Linked DNA regions of Mytilus edulis. The protein of the gene in region 2 binds, or shares a complex with, the protein of the main gene of each other region. Links are inferred from orthologs where the notes say so. Each region holds a gene or a part of one and is shown on either strand. Other genes may lie near its edges.

What was found.
Region 1: DNA polymerase alpha subunit B-like (region 2) and DNA primase small subunit-like share a complex: the UniProt entries of both Drosophila melanogaster proteins name them as parts of the alpha DNA polymerase complex. The link is inferred for Mytilus edulis from reciprocal best matches to the Drosophila melanogaster genes PolA2 and Prim1.

The regions. Positions count from the first base shown.
Region 1 is NC_092357.1:7,812,145-7,823,341, reverse strand, and holds the start of DNA primase small subunit-like, read right to left. Parts: upstream 4,159-11,197; 5' UTR 4,109-4,158; coding exon 3,988-4,108; intron 1-3,987. UniProt on the Drosophila melanogaster protein: Catalytic subunit of the DNA primase complex and component of the DNA polymerase alpha complex (also known as the alpha DNA polymerase-primase complex) which play an essential role in the initiation of DNA synthesis.
Region 2 is NC_092346.1:69,958,342-69,969,466, forward strand, and holds the start of DNA polymerase alpha subunit B-like, read left to right. Parts: upstream 1-6,970; 5' UTR 6,971-7,032; coding exon 7,033-7,117; intron 7,118-10,853; coding exon 10,854-10,978; intron 10,979-11,125. Other genes in the region: uncharacterized protein, read right to left, coding at 188-296, 649-702, 1,298-1,371, 1,668-1,965, 3,530-3,696, 4,296-4,500, 6,635-6,796. UniProt on the Drosophila melanogaster protein: Accessory subunit of the DNA polymerase alpha complex (also known as the alpha DNA polymerase-primase complex) which plays an essential role in the initiation of DNA synthesis.

The DNA of each region.
Region 1 (11,197 bases), on a different chromosome or scaffold from region 2:
TTTTCTTCTTGACCAATACTTCGAAAAGGGAGACAACTCGAAACGATATGGAAGATTCCATTTCTGCTGAAGGGGTGTTATAGGAAATCTTTACGATGAAACATTTATTTTAATTTAAATTATGCATATGATTTAAAATTGTGCAACAACAATAGCCCTCCATATGCAGACAGACATAGAACGAATCCCATGAGTTTCAAATTAATCAATGAAGCGGGGAATCACTCAATCTGATACCCCTTGAAATCAGGAAAACTACACGCATGTGGGGTCTCACTAATTAGCGACAAAAATCGTCAAGAAGCGACAAGAAGAAAAAAAATTAGTGACAAAAAGCAACAAGAAGCTATTTAGCGACAAGAATACATTTTGTTATCACATACATCAAAATATTTTTTTAGGATTATATTGAAAGATGAAGAAATAAAAAAAATTCGAGGAAGAGATTGTGCACTTTTTATATGAAGAAATTAAACATGTGTAAGAGCAAAGGAAATGTAAACGCTATAAAATGAAAATAAAAACAAAGATTTGTCACCTTCCTTTTGAAGGATTTAATAAAAAAAAAACATGAAATATTATTTCCTTCCTAACTGTACAATTAATTTGTCCTGATAGGACCAACATTAGCTGTGGCTTCACTCTAAGGTAATACACAATTCAGAGCATCAAATGAGATTAACTAGGTGCGTGTCCTTTGTTTAATTGCTACAATAACATCCATTAACACCTTCATCTATTACATGCACCAGAATATACAATTATTGTACCGAATAGTGAACGCCTGACTGTTGAAAACTCAAGATTGTCATCAGTTTCCTTTAATCTTCAATCTATATGCATAAACATGATAAATATCGTTAAATGAGACAATACACTAAATAAAATGATGAAAAATATTCACGTTTTAGTTATGTTTTCCTCTTATTTGATTTCAGTTCTTAATTTGTATTTCACAATTTGTATATGTATTTTCTGGACAATTATGCACAAATAATGCATTTTGCAAGTTAATTATATATTGTACAAAAATAGTTTTAAAAACAAATAAAAATCAAAATATATTATTGTTCTAAAACACAAGTAAAAGTAATACCATAAAACGACAGGGTAAAGGTAATACTTCCTGTGATACCTTATATAAAATATCATGTAAATAAATGTAGCAACTGAATTAGATTTACAAGTTTAATTTTTTTCCCTATCAAAATTAATTTTCCTGTCGTTGAAATTGTTTTCTTTTGCATATCTTTTTAATATTTATTTCGAATAAGTATAAATATAAATAAAAAAATGTTTTCTTGTCGCTAAATAGTTTCTTGTTGCTAATATTATTCTTCTTGTCGCTTCTTGACGCTTTTTGTCTCTACAATTCTTTTTGTCTCTAATTAGTGAGACCACGCATGGGCATTTAAAATACATAAACAAACCGCCACTTGCAATTTGGAACAAGAACGTTTATTAAATGATATGATGAATGGTTCTCCATTTCTTTATGAGAGTACAGTATCAAATATCAGTTTCATAACGGTAAAATATAGAAATACTCCACTTCAGTTCTTGTGACAGAAATAGAATTATCGATCGGCTTTCAGAGAACTCTCGCAAGTTATCAAAATTTGGGAATTCCCTCTGACGTGTTTCTAAATTTATAAAAACACTAAATATAAATACTGTTTAATTCTGATTTTCCGTATTGTTAAAAACATGCATATAAGTCAAGGAAAATATCACACATGAAGATTATGAGTAAAACATTACAGGAAAGTTGTTTATGTTCAATTGTTTTGCTTGTTTTTACCTTTTAAAGCAAGACAATCATAAGAATCTGAGATGTTGCTGAATGTTTAGAATAAAACGAATGACGTGAGGGAGTGTATCATAGGGTCAATGGTAAAAGTCTACAGATTGCTTGACAGCAATCGTATCCCAAAAATCTGATGGGTAACTGCATGGATACCATATGTAGGTATGGCAAACCAATGGGAGATAACTCCAAATTACCCTAAATAATTGTTCCCAGATGTGTGTAAAAATAAAATCTTTGGGTGACCTCCGATTACGGCCTTCTATTAACTTGTTAAGTCTCAGAAGGTTTTGATTGCTTTTGATAGATATTATATGAATATTCATGATTCTGTATATTATAATTTTCGGGAATACGATGAAATATTTGAGGTACAAACAAGGGTTTGAAAGTTACATTCGTTTCAAAAAAATACAAGGGAATGTTATACAGTCATAAAATGTACTTTTTTATTAAGTTTAATATATTAATTAAATAATTAGGTCCAATAAATAAATCTAGAAAGCTGTGTTCATATCAAAATAAATTTTTATAAATAACCCTCCTTTTTGTGTATACAGAGTTATTTCCCTTGCATGGACAACTTTTGGTTTAGTTTTGATTGGAAATCAGCAGAGATAGTTTTTTTTGCATTATACAGCCAGTTTACTGCGATTTAAAGATAGTTCAACCACTTGCCATTGCACACGAGATAGTAAGGATAATGAATAATGTGGTTTAACAACAATCAATATATGTATTTTCAACATGTTCAACTAAAAACATACATAGGAATCCATGCAGTAGCGGCAGTTCACTGGGAATACTATTCACATTCAATACTGTATTGCATTTTGAACTTCAGTCCTGAATGAGATTGGTTTACAGATTTCACTGTATAAATATTGTAACTGATATACAGTTATGAATTTACTTTACTTGTATACATACAAGTATTTACAGTGATCTGACATAATTATTTTGTTTGAAATTTCTCGAATAAAAATAATGTTATATTATTTTCATTGTTTTTCAGTGCAACAGGTATTTTAGTCCTGTAAAATAATTGTTAGAAGGTTGTTGTTTATTTTTATTTATATTAGCATTCACTATACATGCTATATATAAGAATAAGAATATTTCATTAAATAGAATGTTAATGAAAAGGGAACATTCTAAAACCATTATGACTATACAAAGACAGATGACATATTTCAAAACTTTCTGGTCTCTCATGGTACAACTGATTTTTATAGTTCGTTCTTATGTTGTACTGTCACAGGTCAGGGGGAAGATTGGGCACCCGCTAACATGTTTAACCCCGCCACATTCTATATGTACATGTATGTGCCTGTCCAAAGTCAGGAGCCTGTAATTCAGTGGTTGTCGTTTGTTGATGTGTTAAATATTTGTTTTTCTTTCATTTTTTGTACATATATTAGGCTGTTAGTTCTCTCGTTTAAATTGATTTACATTTGTCATTTCGGGGCCTTTTATAGCTGACTATGCGGTATGAGGTTTGCTCATCGTTGAAGGCCGTACGGTGACCTATAGTTGTTAATTTCTGTGTCATTTGGTCTCTTGTGGAGAGTTGTCTCATTGGCAATCATACCACATCTTCTTTTTTATACACACACACAAACATATACATTTGTATATAAAGAGTAATATTCATATTTAAATTTTGTTTCTTTACATTCAAGTGTTTATAAAGTTTTCTTTACATTTTCAATATACCAACTGATGCTCTGAAAAAAGGAAAATATAAAGGTATCATCATGTGACTTTGGACGATAGAATTTCATGCGAGTGGTTGACATTTTCATACTTTATGTATCTATTTTGACCAAAAAACTTAATATTGAGGATTGAAATAGACCAACAAGATGTAAAAGAAGCAATATAAACAAAATTATAACCCAAATGATTCAAAAAATATATTTTATTATTTTTTAAAGAGAGGAAACAGTTTTTCCAGAATAGTAAAAAATTATCATTTTGAAAATTTGCTATTTCTTCGTTGTTATTATGTGTATTGATAAAAGTGAAACTGTTTTGAAAATGTCTTCACAATGCCTTTAAAATGAGGTAAAGTTTTCTTAGATCAGTTAATTTTAAAAAAATCACTTTCCGTACCTACCATATGATAAGAAGAAACCCCTATTGACACAGAGAGAAGTGCCCTTGGAAAAAAAACATACCCCCGCCATAGTTGAGCCACTTGAAATATGGTCCATAAGGAAAAAGTCTTTTGTAATAAATGGGCAATAAATCTGGCAATGAAGCTGCATCATAAACGTGCTCTTTTTCTTCTCCTGGCATGGTATCAAATTTTTGTTTACAAAATTTAGCGCCAAAATCTATTTACCGGAAATAAGAATTTACGACTTCATAATTTTATTTTACCTTATCATGAAATACTGAAATACTAGATTTTCGAAAGATAAGCATTGAAAAATATCTTTTAAAACTATATAACTGATTTTAAATATTGTATAAATTCTACTTTTACGACTCCCGTAATTTGGTCGTAAGAATTTCCACAAAAGAAGAAAGTAAGAAAACACTGCCAAAAAAACAAAACTACAACGAATAAGAAGATGTCATCTAATATTTAATGTTAGTTTAATAGTCAGCTTTGAGATTTTGATGAAAACTTTTATTTATTTTAAGCAGTTATTCCATATCATGACATTAATTATTTTTAAAAGTGAGTTGTCTCCCTGTGACCACAAGTTTTTCACAAGTTACTATAGGCCTATGAGGGTCTTAAGGGTATCGGGATCGTTCGCCCTTATAACATGTTCGCCCTGGGTACGTTCGCCCTGAGTTCGTTCGCCCAGAGAGTCCGTTCGCCCTACTAAAAAATATCGATATTCAAGGCATTGAAGTTGAAAAATCTTATTCAGATATTTCTATGGTATATATATTCTTGAAATTTATGGAAACAGGGAAATATTTAAAAGTTTATGGCTTGTTTAGGATCGTTAATTGTTCAATGACAAAATAATTCGGATCACTGATTATTGTGATACCTGTTACCTGTTACCTGTACTGCAACTCCCTCCTATGTCAGGAGAACCACCAATCCTAGAATCGGTGTAATATCACTCGCGGTTAAAATCCTCAAGATTATGTTTAAAAGATATATAAAACCTTTAAAACTATAAAAGAGATATTAATTTATCTCCTCTGGGGGATGTGACCCTATCACCAATATTTACACTATTCTGGTATGCATAAAAAGTCATCCATCATTCAAATATAAAAGTTGCTTCTTTCATATTAAAAACGGTAAAATGTAAATACACTATATATAACAAAATGTTCTATCTTTTGGTATGACCCTTCTTTTCAGCTCGGTATTACACGCTTTTAATCACTGTTCAATTAATATTGCCCGTTGCTGGAATAATTTATGACACAGACCTCTCGATAATGTTTCTATTCTATTCTGTGCATTCTCATTTAAAAATCTAAATTTTGAGCAGTCGATAACTAGCTGACACAAATGTTCGTCATTGGTTATTAATTCTTGGATAAGATCCTGATCCTCTAGGTTTACTGTCAATACCTCGCCTATCATATGCAGAAAATCATCTCTTATATATTGTAGGTTAGAGCACTTTAATATGAAGTGAAGTATATCTTCTTCTTCCTCTGCACATAACTGGCAAATAGGCGACACATGTCCATTGCTAAATTTAGCTCGATGATATTGCAGGTATATTGTCCCTGTTGCTAACTTTGCCTTTAAGGAGGCAGATGTGATGGCATATGGATTTGTGCCACAGCTTTTCCATATGTTATGTATTTTCCCTTCTTTGACATTTTCATAATTTAGGCGAGACAGAGTAGATTTCGATTTTGCTTCACTTATCATTTGTTTTATACAGTGATCATTGACGGTTTTATTTACCAGGTTTTTCCAAAGTTGTTTCCCGGGTGGGTTATCTATAATATCATATGGCGATGGTAAGTCATATATATTGGCAATTTCAACAGTTTTTGTAAACCAGCTACCAGATTGTAGAGATTTTGTTGCTAGCTGTCTGATAGCTAATTTTCTTTCAATTGAGTTTTCATTTCTTATGATATTTCCAAAGGTTTTCAGTATTCGTTTATGTATTTCTGATTCAATGGTAATCCGTCCAAGAAGAAGATGTGAAGCTACGTTTGCAGTTCTGTCTGGCAGGTGTTGAATTTGTCGCAAGAGTTTTCGAAAATAAGTGGAGAGGTTTTTCATGTCTTCAGTAGATACTTGTCTTTTGATGGATTATTAATAAAAATCAAACGTTTTGTTTTGATAAAATATTCAGCTTGAAATTAATAAACACAATGATGTACGAACTGTAAATCATGAAACGGATTTACAAGTTCATTATTATACTCAGAGACAGTCCTAGTCTCAGTTATACTGCATACATTCATGATTGACTGAATACAATTATTTTGTTAACAAATATCAATAAAGAGAAATACATTGTACATACCAATTCTACTCTGTAAATCAAAGAGAAAATTATAAAATGATTGCGGCAATATAAATATTCTGTCAATTTGTAAACAAACTTTAACATATTTTGTTCAAATACTTAAAATTATGCGACTGGACAACAAACAGAAAAAAATATAAATCTGGGCGAATGGACCCTGGGCGAACAGGTATCAGGGCGAACACGTAGTATGGCGAACGTGAATCAGGGCGAACGGACCCGGATTCGGTCTTAAGGTAGCGCAATACAAAGATTTTTCATCCCACTCAGACATCTTTAAACTGATGTAATTCCACTCATCTTTCTTTAAATTTTATAAATGAGGTACCAAAAGAAAGAAGAAGGATTAATCTTTCAAATTGTGATAATTTCATTATGACATAATTATTACATAATTAATTGTTATGTAATTAGTTGCGGTATTGTGATGTCCATACTTGAATGAATTTAGCTTCTTTGTTATTCCTAGCATCCCAAAATACTTTATAGATTCTTGCACAACACAGTTTGACCTCCAAAACTGTACAAGAATCTGTAAAATATTTTGGGATGCTATGAAGAACAAAGACGCTAAATTCGTTCAAGTGTGAACATCACAATATAGCAACTAATTACATAATAATTAATTATGTAATAATTATGTCATAATGAAATTATCACAATTTGAAAGATTAATCTTTCTTCTTTCATGTCTTTCTTTTGGTATCTCATTTATAAAATGTAAAGAAGGATGTTCAAAATGAATTACATCAGTTTAAAGTTGTCTGATTGGGAGTGAAAAAATCTTTGTATTGTGCTACCTTAATTGAAGAATAACGGTAAAAAAAATTGACAAATGATGTGTACAGTATTTTTTGTTTCATCCATGTGTAGGAATTTCTCGCTGCATTAATGACCTGTTGGTGACCTTCTGCTGTTGTCTGTTCTATTGTCAGGTTGTTGTCTCTTTGACACATTCCCCATTTCCATTCTCAATTTTATGTTGAAATGTACGCTTTCTTTGATATAAAATCAACTGAATTTTAATAATGAATCACATTAATGTTTTTTTCCAGAAATTACGGTGTTGATAATTTCTTAAATTAGACCTCTGACGATTCATGAGAGCTCAGAGGTGGTAATTCCCTTTACCGTCAGTCGTAAAACGATAATTTTCGGCTACCGTAAGCATCAAATTGGTTAAAATTTTAATGTGATTCAGTGTTCTCCCCAGGATTTTTTTGATAGCGCTGTGGTAAGCAGGTAATTTTCGACGATTCTCAGTAACTTTGTCGCGGTGCACGGTTTGTTTGTAATTAATTTGTTATGTGTTTTTCTTATATTACATGTATGCTATTGATGTTTTCTCTTGTAATAATGTCCTCATCATGCTCGTGGAAGTTACCCCTTTGTTTGTTAATGTTGTTGTCTGGATATAGAAGAAGAGTCTTTTTCTCCATTGTAAATTCATATAATCTCATATTATCTGTGTGTAAAACCCAAGGAGAAGTCTTTTTCCATGATGGGTCTATACCAGACTGCCTGATGATGTTGCAGAACATGTAGGACCAACAATAAAGTATTTGTCAGCTTCTGTGTTTGGTTTTGTAACCCACTGTAGCAGTGTATTGTTAACCTTACGACGTTTGAAAGAAATTAACATTTTTTAGCATAATGATTTCTCATTTTTCTGACCTTAATGTTTTATAATATTCAAATGGCTTCATCTAAGCTGGATATCAAGAAAGGGAATTTCTCAAGTCGTATTGATCAGCTTGGGGTTTGTTTTTCTAATCATATCCTCTCAATTGTTTTCAAATGGTAAATTTATCACTGTAGAATTGCTGATTAAACAATTATTAGTTCAAATAGGTGATAATTAATACTTCAACAGACACTTTAAACTTTGAAAACCAAGTATAAACCTTTTCAAACGCAAAAGTCATACCTTGTATGCATATACCTTATGTTATGAAATTTCCATCTGTCATACATGATGATTCTAAGCAAACATATGTATGGAAAGCTTCACCCTTTTTTCAGGGGGAGGGAGGGGCAACTGCAGTTCATGTATGTTATAGGCCCTGACAGCTTTGATCATGTAATAATTCTTTACTTTCAATTTCCTCAGTTTTAAAATGAGATTAATGTAAAATAATGATTACTGTATTTTCAAACCCATTAATTTTGAATTTTTTAAACTGCAGTTTGGTAGTTACAATACACCTTATCGCTATTTGCCTTCGCTTGAACTTTTGACGCATACAACAATCACTTTTCCATTGTGGCGTCAGATATTTTGTTTTATATCGTCAAAATTTTACGGGAACCTGTGTGATATCCAGTAATGGCGGACAAATAGCGATAAGGTGTATCACAACTGTCATGCATGACTGTTAATACAACCGACAAACAAGTACAGATCAAATTCACATGTTATTAGCACCAAGTAACACTAACAATAAATGGTTATACAATGATATATAAATGTCACAGAGAAAGGAGTGACAGTAGATAAATAAGATATCAATTATTTTTCAATAATGAACTTCCTATCAATAAGTTTTCATTTATTTGATTAACAACTTTTCAGTATAATAGCTGATTGTCCAAAAGTGAGAATTTTTTTTGCATATTGTTGAAGGCCATTTAGTGACCTTTGGTCTGTATTAGCATGATTAGAAAGTTGATTTTCCTCTAAGTTCAGAATTTTGTGATTTTACTTTTTTTGTCTTTATTGGTTATCATATTATATCTCCTTATATTTATATTCAAAGAGCCATGAAATAATAGAATAGATAAAGGAAAGAGGGAATGTGTCAAGAGACAACAACCATTCAAAGAGTAGAAAACAGCCCAAGGTCACCAGTCATGCTTGAACGGGTCGGGTCTTCTTCCTTGTTCTTTGTAGAGAAAATGCAACACCCATAGTCAGTCTTCAGCATGACTTGAACATGCTAAACAAGTATTACTGTAATGCAGGGTTTCCCCTGGGTCAATTATTTTTTTCGCCACCTCTTTCGCCAAAACAATATATTTTTTCGCGACTTTATTATTTTTTCGCCAAGTAACACAAATTTATATTTTTCTTTTAAAACTTGTCTTTTTTTTAGATGCCAACCTTTTGAATAGATTTCTTCATAAGAACAGTTTTCTTTTTTCTATCCTAGACCATCGTAAATAAGTAAAACTATGATAATGCTTGAAACACGTGTGTCAATGAAACGACTTTAAAGTACCTATTCTAATCAATTATCTATATCAAAGTTAAATGATAAAGTTTTAAATCAGAGACCTTTCTTGCTTTTCAACATTTTTCGTCATAACAACAGTTTTCTTTTCTGGCTGGGCGCCCGGGTTATCATTAAAAGAAGGAGAAAAGAAGGATCGAGAGAAATCGTCAAAATTTTGATTCAAACACGTGCATCGCCAAGTGGTTAATAAACCCCTTTTGAGACATGTGACGGACGCCATTTATCCATATCATTTTGTCATATAATACAATACAATCAACACCTTTATTAATTAGTCCTTTGATGTCGATAGCTATAAATGCAATCAGCTGATTATTGATTTTCTGTTAAAATCTTAACGAGTTCAAAGTGAATTCAGAGTATAATTGTCTGATCGGATAAAGTCCGAGAAACCCGAAAAAAAGTAAATAAACAAGATGGCTGAAAATAAATCGTTATATATTTCTTTCGCCAAATTCTTTCGCCAATGACGAATTTTAATCGCCACAATTAAAAAAATTTGGTTGCTCTGTTAGGTCAGTCAGTGGGCCCCCACTTATGATAATTTCTGGATCTGCCACTGCACTAAACTCACAAACATACAATTGAATCAAAATTTTTAAAAATAACAAAATACCTTCATATATATGAAAAGAGAAACATTGCTTCAACCTTGCGGTAAGGTTGCAGCAACCTTGCGGCAATCTTTTTAGTTCGCCAGAAGACCTGAAAGTTGTTCACCAGTGTTCGCCGCTAGCAGCGACCTTTCGGCAAACATATGTAAAAGTTTGCCGCAAGGTTGCCGCAAACTCTTAACTTTCTTAAATTTGAAGGAAATTTGTAAACAAACTTTAAAGGAGTCCTAAAGTTTGCTGGAACTTCGCCGCAAACATTATAGCATACTGAGCATGCTCCCTGTACTAAAATCAGACTTCCTGCTTCTTTGAATTTGAAATAGGAGGGAGTTTTTAATGTTGGTGTTTTCATGTTAAAAGTAAATGGATGTTATATATGATAGATGTCTGAGTTATATATGATTCAATTAGTTCCTGGAATAGGCTATTCATCATTGATCATCTCTTTGTAAGTTAATTTAGACAGTTTTTGCATGTTAATTTGCTATTATTGGTACAAAAATTATGTCAAAGAACCCCCATTTTGAAATAACGATTGTGTTACACTCTTTTTGCCCTTAGAGAAAGATCATTACAGTTGTAATCTTAAACTTTGTGGATAATAATGTTTTGCAGGAAAGGTCTTTAAAACAATTTGTAATTCTATATTATTTAATCACATTTGTCAGATTTATATTTTAGATATGATTTTATGCTTTATGTTGTAATGCCTTAATCATGTTAATCCCAGTTTCTTTATAATTGGCCTTATAAAGACAGATCTGTTCTTGATTTTTTCATACATATGAATCTGTTAAGAAATTAATCAGCTCATTCTGAATTATGCACTGAGTAAATTAATAAATATACATGTACCTACATTGTTTTTATTGTGGTCACAACTTTTATTTCTCTTTTTCACATTTCTTTAAAAATTTAATTTGATCAAAAGGTGAGCAGGTAAATATCAGTTATTAGTTATAATAATTAATTTTGATCCACATGTGCATCATTTTGAATAAGAGGTACAGTTTTGAAAAAAGAATAAACATATAAAAGTAGTCATAGGGCATCATTATCACTTGATTT
Region 2 (11,125 bases):
AGTTCTATCTTATTTAGTGTCAATGACTCCTCAATTTAAAATTTACATGATGATAAGTGAGCTGTATTTTCGAAGACGGTACTTGGAACATTCAACATAGCCATGGAGATAGACTGGTGACAAAAAATGAATGAAAGTGCCCATACAGATGTCTGCTAACACCTTCAAATAGTAAAACTATACCAACCTGGTTTAGGTAAACTTTTATAATACTCCTGTATAAACTCTTCACCACCTTTCTTTAGATCATCAAGATCATCAAAACATTGCTGCATTTGTTTCTCCCATTTACGAACCTAAATAATGATTTTTAATTGTCATATAGGCTTAGCCTCAACTGTTTGTGAAACACTGCTTTCGTGATTGGTAACACTTATAATATCTTTTTGATAAAGGTTATATTTTAATTTTTTTCGGTTTCATGAAAAGAATGATACCTTTTTCGTAGAACAGTTAAGACAGAACATAGTTAAGATTATTTAAAAAATACAGATAGCTAATGTTTGTGGTCAAAATTCCTTTTATGAGTTTAAACAAAAAAAAATGTCATTTTAAAATGCAACACAAAATCCCTAAATAATATTTCTGTAGAACCCCACATGAAAATAAATTATATATACATGTACAGTATTCTTTATTCATAATTACCTGAACAGTATGATTAAGAGGAGCTGTCACATCCTTGAACATGTCTTTTACATCCTAAAAATATGCAATATTGTGATAATATTCTGTGAATTCAAGCGTGATTTTACCGATATTATTTTTATAAGTCAGTTGACTTTTAGATGAAAATATATAATTTGATAAATAAATAGAACATAAAAACTGCCATCCACAATCTTTGAAAAATTGTTATGTAAAAATAAATCAACCAACAGAATTCTGTTGAATAAGGTCAATTTTATAGCCTTTCAAATATGTGAAAAAAAGCTCATAAATAGATTGAACTTAAATTTTATACTGTAAAGAAAACATTTCTGTTTATAAATGTCAATGCAATAGTGAAAACAAATCTTTCTGAAGTTCTAACTTAAGTGAAAAAAAATCAACAAAACTTGAAATAAGGTTTGGCGTAATTTTTTTTTTTTAACATTAATATAAAGATGAGATTTTAAAGGTACAGGAGAACTGAAAATAATCATAAAAACATAGGATATTATTTTAAGCAGATAACTTTGATACGGTTATGAGTCATGCATTTATTCACCAATATTTTGAATCAAATGTCATAATTATTTAAAATAGAACTGAACCTTCAGTCTGAATGCTTGTAAAAAAACCAAAGATAACTTACTAGTGGTTTTGGTGCAACATTTGTTTTATCGATAATACTTCCTAATTCTGAATATTTCTTTGTTTCACTAGTTCCTGTAGAGAAAAAAATAGAGAACATTTATTTATGTCTTCATTTTATCAAATTAATCAAATGTTAAGAAAAGTAAGCTTATACTTCTTAAACAAGTCAAAAAGCATAGATGTAAAGTGTCAGTTGGAAATTCTAACATTTTACTCTGTGAAAAAGGGGAATATTTTGCATTATACACTTGTGGTTAAACCATTTATTTATAAATACATGTACAATTTGAATAGGAAATTATGTTTTATGTTTTTTTTGCAAAATCCTGATTTTTTTTGTAATTACTTAATAAAATTATGCTAAATACCTCCATATGTAAGAGGAATGCAAGACTGAGCATTTGCCATTTTCTTATCCAGATCATAATCCACAATTCTCCATTCTCCAGTCAATGGTATTCCACTAAGAGGGTCAATTTTAGATGTACGAGTAAATGCATCAATATTTGGTGCTGAATATGTATGTTTTTCGTCATTTGCTTTGATAGTTATAGGTCTGTATAAAGAACTCAGCGATATTGGACATTCATATTGCTGTGCTAAATTATCATCTGTTATCTTGACATATCTGGGTAGTGGCTTCCTTATAATATCTAAACTGTAAGTCTGAGTGTATATAGTAAAATATAGTATGAAACTAAACAATATATACGTAGAAATATTGAATTGAATCTGAATTTTCAAATTGAGTATACTAGTACAAATATTTTATATTACAGACAACAGCCATTGACATCAGGCAAAAACCTAGTTGAAATAGAACAAAAGAATCGAAGCTCTTTGTTAGAGAAGGCGATAAATGCTTACTGTAATGTTTACTATAGTAACACAAATTTTAAAAGTTTATAGAAACAAATAAAATGACAATTTTCTTCTCAATTACGAAGTGTTTCATATTTATAACACCATTTGCATAAGTTTTCAATTTATCTTTTACATAGTTAAGCAGAACAATTAGATATCAAGTCGACGACATGAGTATCTATCAAGTTGGATGTAGAAAATGCATAACCTCCGAATTTTTTTTTTTTAAATTACCACAGACGGAGAACATATCAATCTATTAGTTCAGTAATTTTCGTGTCTGCCCTTTCGTTATGTGACTCAAGAAAAAATTCCAAAAAATGGGTAACAATTGTGTAGAAAAGAGAAAATCTAGTGCATCTTTTTATGTTAGGGTGTGTTTGAGTTGAATATTTTGTCTTGAAAACATACAAAGCAAGAATATTTTATATATCATCTCGCTTCAGTTTTCTATCATTTTTATATATCAAAGCTACAGGTTGACTTTATAACATAAAAAAATCACAGTATTGAAAGATAAAATATATGGGACAAGTGAAATACCTATCTAATGAATCACAAAAACAGAGTAAGTGTGTTCGAATAGCTAATTTTTGTTACTAAAAGTACTTGACGACAGTCTTTTAAGTTGGATGATGAAAATGCATATCTTCGAGAAAAAAAAAAGATTTTTTTGTGTGTGATAACTAGAGTTTATATTTTCCAACAAGTGAAATTTTTTAGTCTGCCCTTCCAAGAAATATTTAATTAGAATTTTTTTGAAATGTTTATGAATTTTAGAAAATTCCACCTGACAATCGATCAGACAATAGATTTGAGTTGAATCAATGCAGACAAAATCATTAACTGATGCTTATTAGCTAGTAGATACATTTGTCTTTAAAATACAACTGACATATAAGGATCTTAATGGTGCTATGTGGATAAATTTATCGGTTTTCAAGGGCAAAATTGGCAGCACGTCATCCCTACAATGGCTTCCATTTCTACGATAGTGAAAATGAACTGGCTTAATGGGGAGATAATTTGACGAAGTAGAATCCTGACTGACATAAATCATGTACTGTCAGTCTTTCTAAACATTTGTAAATGCAAGGTAAAACAAGCACAAAAACATCATGCTTGATATTAATCCTATCATTTTTTGTTTTCTAAAAATGGCCTAAGCACAAAGAATAATGTAGCAAATGATAACATTAACAATTTCAAGTACAAAATGTACATGAATTTAAACATAACAAAATGATCCAGTAATTTTAACATTAGGTTTAAAGTGTTTTTTTCTTCTTTAAACATATCTCTTGAAAGTTTTTACTTGTTAACAATGAAATAATTGTCAATGGTTTTTGGTAGAATTTTAGTATACCTGTTTGTTAGATCCATCAGCTGATGTAACTTCTATCTGGAGATTTGTCTCCCCTACATTAAGAGGTGTAGATGTCCCTGGTTTTTCTTTACATACAAGAACTGCATTTTTGGGATCAGGTGCAATTGGTGTTACTGTCACCTTGTCTGAATTGCAGGGTAATAAACCTAAAGTATTCAACAAATAAAGAAGTAACTAATTATTTTTTTTAAAATGCAGCTTCTATTGTGACTCCAGTAAGCGTCAAACAACTTTCAGAAAAATAACAGATGACTCATATGGTTTATCTCCAGTTTTAAGTGAAGAAACTGAAGCATTATCAAGGCTATTTCTCAACTAATTCAATATATACATTAGGTGAAATTACAATACTAAAATTTATGGTATACACGTACATGTAGGCAAATAAAGTTTATCTTGAGATTGACTTGTTGGCTGCCAAAAAGAATCCATGTGCCATTTACTTACATGATAAAAATATAACTAAGAGTCTTTCCTTTTAATTTTTTCATGAATTCCCTTACATACTTGTTTATTTAATTTTTTTATATATATTTTTTTTTTAAAAACAACGATTATGAACATGATGAAGGTACAATCAAAATAAGATGTCAAATTGACCATAAATCTAATCTTAAAAAATATACTGGATATTATCTAATCTTGAAAAAATATACTGGATAGTTATCAATTTTTTGGTGTAGCAATTACATAATTTTCAAATTTTCTGGGATATAATAAAGGCAGATTTGAATACTTTACTTACAAGAATATTCAAATACATTGTCAGAAAATTCTGGTGATAAGTCTCCATCTGATAACTTTAGATCACTCAATGTAGCATCTTTTGCAGATAATCTTTTGGCATGTATAAAATAATTCTTTATGGTACAATCTTCAGAAGTGACTTCTATCTTAATATCAGTGATTTGACCTTCTTTAAGAGGAACATCCTTGCCACCATCACTTCCCTGTCAACAAATCAATAACAAAAATAACAGTTAACGCTGTACAATTTAGATATCAAAATATTATTTTAATTGCAAGACAGAACCAGATGATCCACAGGGTGCAGCTTTATACGACCGCAGAGGTAGAACCATGAACAGTTGGGGCAAGTATGGACACAACATTCAAGCTTGATACAGCTCTGAATTTGGATTGTGATTAAATAGTTGACACAGCAAATTTAAAGGTTTCTGACACAGAATGAATGTGGTCTGATGAACTTGAAAAAAAATCTTTTGCTTTTGAGCAATACACTATATATATAGATGCTGTTGAATATAAATCCCCTAAAAAAAAAATTGCGGTCGTATAAAAAACCAAAATGACAGAATAAAAGTAAAATTTTGGTTCTGTCGTTAAGGAGTTTAGTTGTGATGTTATGACGTCATATTCAATGTAAACAAAGAAATGCTATCATCAGGTAACATTTTTTCATATCAAAGAATTACTAAAAATGAAATTGATATGTACAGTGTTCCTTCTTATATTTTACTAGACTAATAAAGATATATTTTACTCAAAAAAGAAGTAGATTTCTGCACAGATGTGGGATAATAATAAAGTTAATGATTTTGAGTTCATTAGGGCCAAGTTCACTTGAAACAATTCAAACTGTCAAGTTTACTCGGGTTTCAACAATACGATTTTACTTGAACCACTCGAGTTAACCCCTCGTACTCTGGTTCCAACTCTCACCAAGCCAAGGTTAAACTCGAGAAACTCTTGAATGACGTCAAACCAATGAGAATATTTATTTTCTATGCTTTGTCAGGGCCTCTACCCTAGAGTTACTTAGAGTTGTTCTGAATATCAACTCGAGTGCATTCATGTGATAATCTATTAACTCTGAAGTCTATTGTAAAGTTTTAAGTAAACTTGGCCAAGTAGAATGAAAAATTAGGGAATTTTCCCAATTTTTATTATTTTAGTGGATTTTTCTACCGTAATAGTAGTCCAAATAGAATCATATTCAAAACAGTGTAGCTGTGGCCATTGATTAACGACCTTAAATTCTCCCATTGACTGGGGCAGATTATGTGAACGTTTGACTGTAACAACCGCTGCTCACTATGTACTTGTTAAAGACACTTAAACTGTGGGGCCACAAAAGGTTCTCAACACCTAAATAAAGTAATTAGAAAAACTAATCAGGAATAACACGATGTTTTGATTTATATCATTAATAAGAATTAAAACATAAAGTTATTCCTGGTTAATTTTTCGAATTATTATAATATTAAAGGCGTTAAGAACCTTTGGTGACCCCACAGTTTAAATTCTATAATAAGTAAGTGGTGAGCAGTTGTCGTTACAGACACACGTTCACCTAATCTGTCCCAGTCAATGGAATAATTTAAGGTCGTCAATCAATGGCCACAGCTACACTGTTTTGAATATGATTCTAATAATGACGTCTTGGAAGGCTATTTTAAATTTTTGCTTTGACACCTTCATGCGTCGATGTAAGGGGGTCAAAGAAAAAAATATAATAGCCTTTCAAGATGTCATAATTATTTGGACAACCGTAATAGGGGACTTTGTCCCATTATAAAGAATTTAATAAACTTAAAAGCAAAATTTTGGGGTAAGGTTAAATCTTTTCCCTATTTAGTTCAGGCAGCATGTCAACTATGTTGCTGTCATGTAAAATTGGCACCATCATGTTAAAATCTTAGTACCATTGCAAACTCTATCCTACAATTAGTCAACTCATACTACTAAAAGTCAACTAACACCAATGTTAACTAGAAATGCTGAGAGCTTGTACTATCGCGAGCTTGTAACATTAAAAATACAATGACAATTTACAAAGTATACAAATGTTTTAAAAATAATGTTTGCAATTTTATTTGTTATAATCTGTAAGTTGGAGTTTTCCCGGACTGGGTGAGAGTTTGAAATGGCAAGAGTTTGCAGACAGTGATACAAATTTGATTTAAGTGGTGTGAATTGACATTGGTACAAGTTTGCAATGTTATTTAATAATTATAATTCGTCATTTCAGACATCACTGGCATGCAGTTGCATCTGGCATGTCTGGTTATATCATACATACAGAGCCTGCAGAGGGCCAAACTTTTTTTTATAATTTCTTACAGAAATGCAATATGATGCACCCGTATCACTGGTGAGAGGGTCAACGTGAATTTTTTCCACATTGCTCGCTAGGGTCACATTATATTCTGTTGTGTCTTTATGAAACGCAGGTGACAATTTTCCGGGCTTTATGACTAGTTTATCCAAGTTGCAGTCGTCCATCTTGAAACCTAGGACGCTAATTTAGAGATTAACTTTATGAACATAATGAATTTTGATATACAAAGCCTAAAGAGTATGAAAAAATATGTTAATTTTCAATCTTCTTGGTATTATGTACTTTAAATTAAAATTTTGATTCAAATAATTTTGTTTGAGGCTAAACTCCTAGTCACAGGAAGTGAAAAAAAAATCGCGGGAAAGACAATTTTGTCAACAAAACATTTCAACACTTAAAAATGCCTTTCATTTCAGAAGAAGAATTAGAAGATGAATTTAGTGTATTCGGTGTAGAATTCAGTAGTCCTCAAATTGTTGAAAAATGTAAATGTTTTAAATGATAGAAACTACGTATTGCCAGTTTTAAGCCACTTCCACTAACATTTGGCTATCAAAAAAATTTAGACACTTCGGTACCCAAAAATTAGGCATCGAAAAAAGTTAAGAGACACGAGAAAAACAGTTCGGAATTAAGTCAAATAGGCACACCATTAAGATTTTTAAATTTAACTATGTAAATAAATTGGAATGTGTAAAGCCCTGTTTACATGTTCGCCCTGTCCTTGGTCTGTTCGTCCTGAGTTCTTTCGCCCGTATAGTACGTGTTCATTCTCTTTACTTTTATCAAGGACGTTTTATAATACGTCTTTGCATTTATTCTCAGATCCGGACATCCTGGCATTTACATTTGTCAGGAGGTGATGAAATCCGGAATCCTCTAGATTTTTCATCTATTTGAAGGGGATAACTGATCATTTAAATTGCCGATTATTTTTTAACCAGAGGTTATAGTATGTTAAAAATCAAAATGGAGATAGTATATAGTGTCTTTAACAGTATTAAAAGAGTAAAATTACTATATTCAACTGGTTATGATATATATCAATTAAATTAATTTGCAATAAGTCTATGGAAAATCTAGAGGAATCTTATCCGCATCACCTATCAACATTGTTTACATAACAAAAATGCTAATCATTGATTGGTCAGTTACATGTTGTGATGTCACTGCAGATCTGAGAATTAAAAATTATTGATATTAAGGGGAGGCCTATCATTAAAAAACTCTAAAACACGATTTAGTGAAAATCATCTGTTCCTTATTTAGTTTCCAAGGTAAAGCAATCGTGTTCAGCCACTCAAATTCTGTATTTCGCATGATCAATTAATAAGCCAATCAAAAACGTTGTCTCTGAAGATTATTCTAACATGCTAGATTTTGAACTTGTGTTGTTATCATCTAGTTATTAAATCGTGAATATGGCATGTGAATTTTCATCTGCAAGCAGGTTCTTACACAGCTTCAGAATAAAAGCATGGCTGAGTGACAAAATTCAATGATGCAGTACTACATAAAGATAATACACAGTATTTTTATGCCCCACCTACGATAGTAGAGGGGCATTATGTTTTCTGGTCTGTGCCTCTGTGCGTCCGTCCGTTTGCTTCAGGTTAAAGTTTTTGGTCAAGGTAGTTTTTGAAGAAGTTGAAGTTCAATCAACTTGAAACTTAGTACACATCTTCCCCATGATATGATCTTTCTAATTTTAATGCCAAATTATAGTTTTGACCCCAATTTCATGGTCCACTGAACATAGAAAATGATAGTGCGAAGTTCAGGTTAAAGTTTTTGGTCAAGGTAGTTTTTGAAGAAGTTGAAATCCAATCAACTTGAAACTTAGTACACATCTTCCCCATGATATGATCTTTCTAATCTTAATGCCAAATTATAGTTTTGACCCCAATTTCATGGTCCACTGAACATAGAAAATGATAGTGCGAAGTTCAGGTTAAAGTTTTTGGTCAAGGTAGTTTTTGATGAAGTTAAAGTTACATCAACTTGAAACTTAGTACACATGTTCCCTATGATATGATCTTTCTAATTATAATTCCAAATTGTTATTTTGACCCCAATTTCACGGTCCACTGAACATAGAAAATGATAATGCGAGTGGGGCATCCGTGTACTATGGACACATTCTTGTTTTTCACTAATTTATCATGTTTATTGACATAATACTTGTTGTAACATATTTTTATTTTTGTATTCAATTAAATCATTTAAAGGACAACATACTATTCTTTTTTCACAAAGACCAACAGACAGGTTGGGACTTCCCCCCCCCTCCCCCCATATTATGAGTGGTGTCCCTTAAATGAGGGACCTAAAACAAGGGGTCATTTCACTGTTGAAAAAAAAGAAAGAAAATTTTTAACTCAAAAGTGGGAAAATTCATTATATTTGGAACAATTTTCTAAATGAGGGGTCAAACTAATAAAGAAGATATAAGTTTAGAAACATCACAAAATTCTTTTGACATGAATACTTGATAGATGCATAGTTCTTCATCAAATAATATGAATATAAAGGTGCTAATTTTTTACAGTGGGTTGTATTGTTCTTCCAATGAGGGTTACCCCTCATTTGGAGTGTTGTTCCCAATCTGTCAAAGGTCCATCTTTGTGCATAATTCAAAATTGGAAATTTCAACAAGCATCTAATATTCATGCACAAGAAAATAAACCCTGGTCTGCTAAATACATGTTCATCTTTTCTACCGATTTAATAACTAGAATCCTGCAAACAGGGCATGGGCATTATGTTTTCTGGTCTGTCCATCTGTCCTGCTTCAGGTTAAAATTTATGGTCGAGGTAGTTTTTGATGAAGTCCAAATCCAATCAACTTGAAACTTAGTACACATGTGTTTCTTATCATATGATCTATCTAATTTTACTGCCAAATTAAAGACTTACATGTACCTAATTTTCACAGTCCACTGAACATAGAAAATGATTGTACGGATGTGAAATCCATGTACTTATGACACATTCTTGTTTGAAGAAAAAAAATTATGTCATAACGATAATGGAACAAAGCAGGCTGGATTAGTGGGGCTGCTTTTATGGTAATTCAAGTTTCCTTTTATTCACCTTCTTCCACCTCAGAGCTATCAGTTCTTTGATTCTTCTTTTACATGTGCCATTCTGATTTATTATAATTCAAACTTTCGGTTTAAACATACACTAAGTTTCTTACTTTTTTGTGTGTGATTTAGACTTATTTTCACAACTGTGATGTGTACTTAAATCATTTACAAGTTATTTACAAGCAGTTACAGCTTGTTTGATGATGGAAAACAGGTTTTATGGAAAACAGGTTTTTCCAACAAAATACATCAAACAACCACACATGTTTTGAAAGTACTGGAATTACAAACATTTTTTTACCTGACATAAAGTCCCTTAATTCTGATAATGAATAAATTTCCACAGATATCAGAATAGACAACTTTCGAGTTCCATGCATTTCCGTCAAAAACTCTGGTTTTAGTGAACATCATTCATGCATTTAGGGGCATCCTCACTTCAATTTCTATGTTGAGCGAGTGGTTGGAAAATAACATGTACAAAAAATGTATAATACTATATTGCATGTTTTATTCGGCAAACTTAATTCTCATTTCATGATTTGACAATCAGTTCTGCTGTCATTAGGGAATTGTGATTAAGTACTTACAAAACAAACATTATTTCTAGTTTATCCTGCAGAATGATGATCACTATGACGCTTGATGAATGTTGGTAGTGCAGGGATACAGGCCACCCCTCTATCTGGTAAATTAGGTCACAAAGGCGTGTCTAATTGACAAGTTTTTTTCCGGTGACAGATGAACTCAAAAGTGGTCTATTGTCACAAGTTGAAATGAGCTTTCAAAAGGTTTATCAAGATTTCATTGTATGCATAAAAAAAGCATGCCACTAGCAATAAACAAAATATAAATCAAAATTAAATTAAGTATTTTTAACTTTCCCAGTTTTCCCCCTGATATTGCTATTTATAGGGATGCTTTTAAATTAAAAAAAACATGTTCAAGTTTATATATTCACGAAGATTTATATTTGCGATAGTTTTTGACTTGCGAAAGTACTGAAAATAAATCACTTGCAATAATTAGTAAGTTTACAGTATTCAAAAGTACAATGTACTTTGTTAATTATTTAACATACAACTGTTCGTTATTTATATATGTTTTGAATTGAATTGATGTCTTATTTCAGTACAAGAATTGTGTGTACAGTACAATTTGGGTGCAGAAAAGATAGTTACAGAATGGGTAGCATTTGCCAGCACACACAAAGGTGTACAAATGACATTAGATTCTCTAGACCAATTAGACAGAGAAGTGAGTCATTTTATACATAGAAATTGTAAATTGTAAAAAGAACATCACAAATGTTGACTTTGCTTAAAAATAAGATAGTTCATGCATTGTATATATATATGATAAGGATATCCAATAATCTGTTCTAGATTTACTAGTCCACTACCA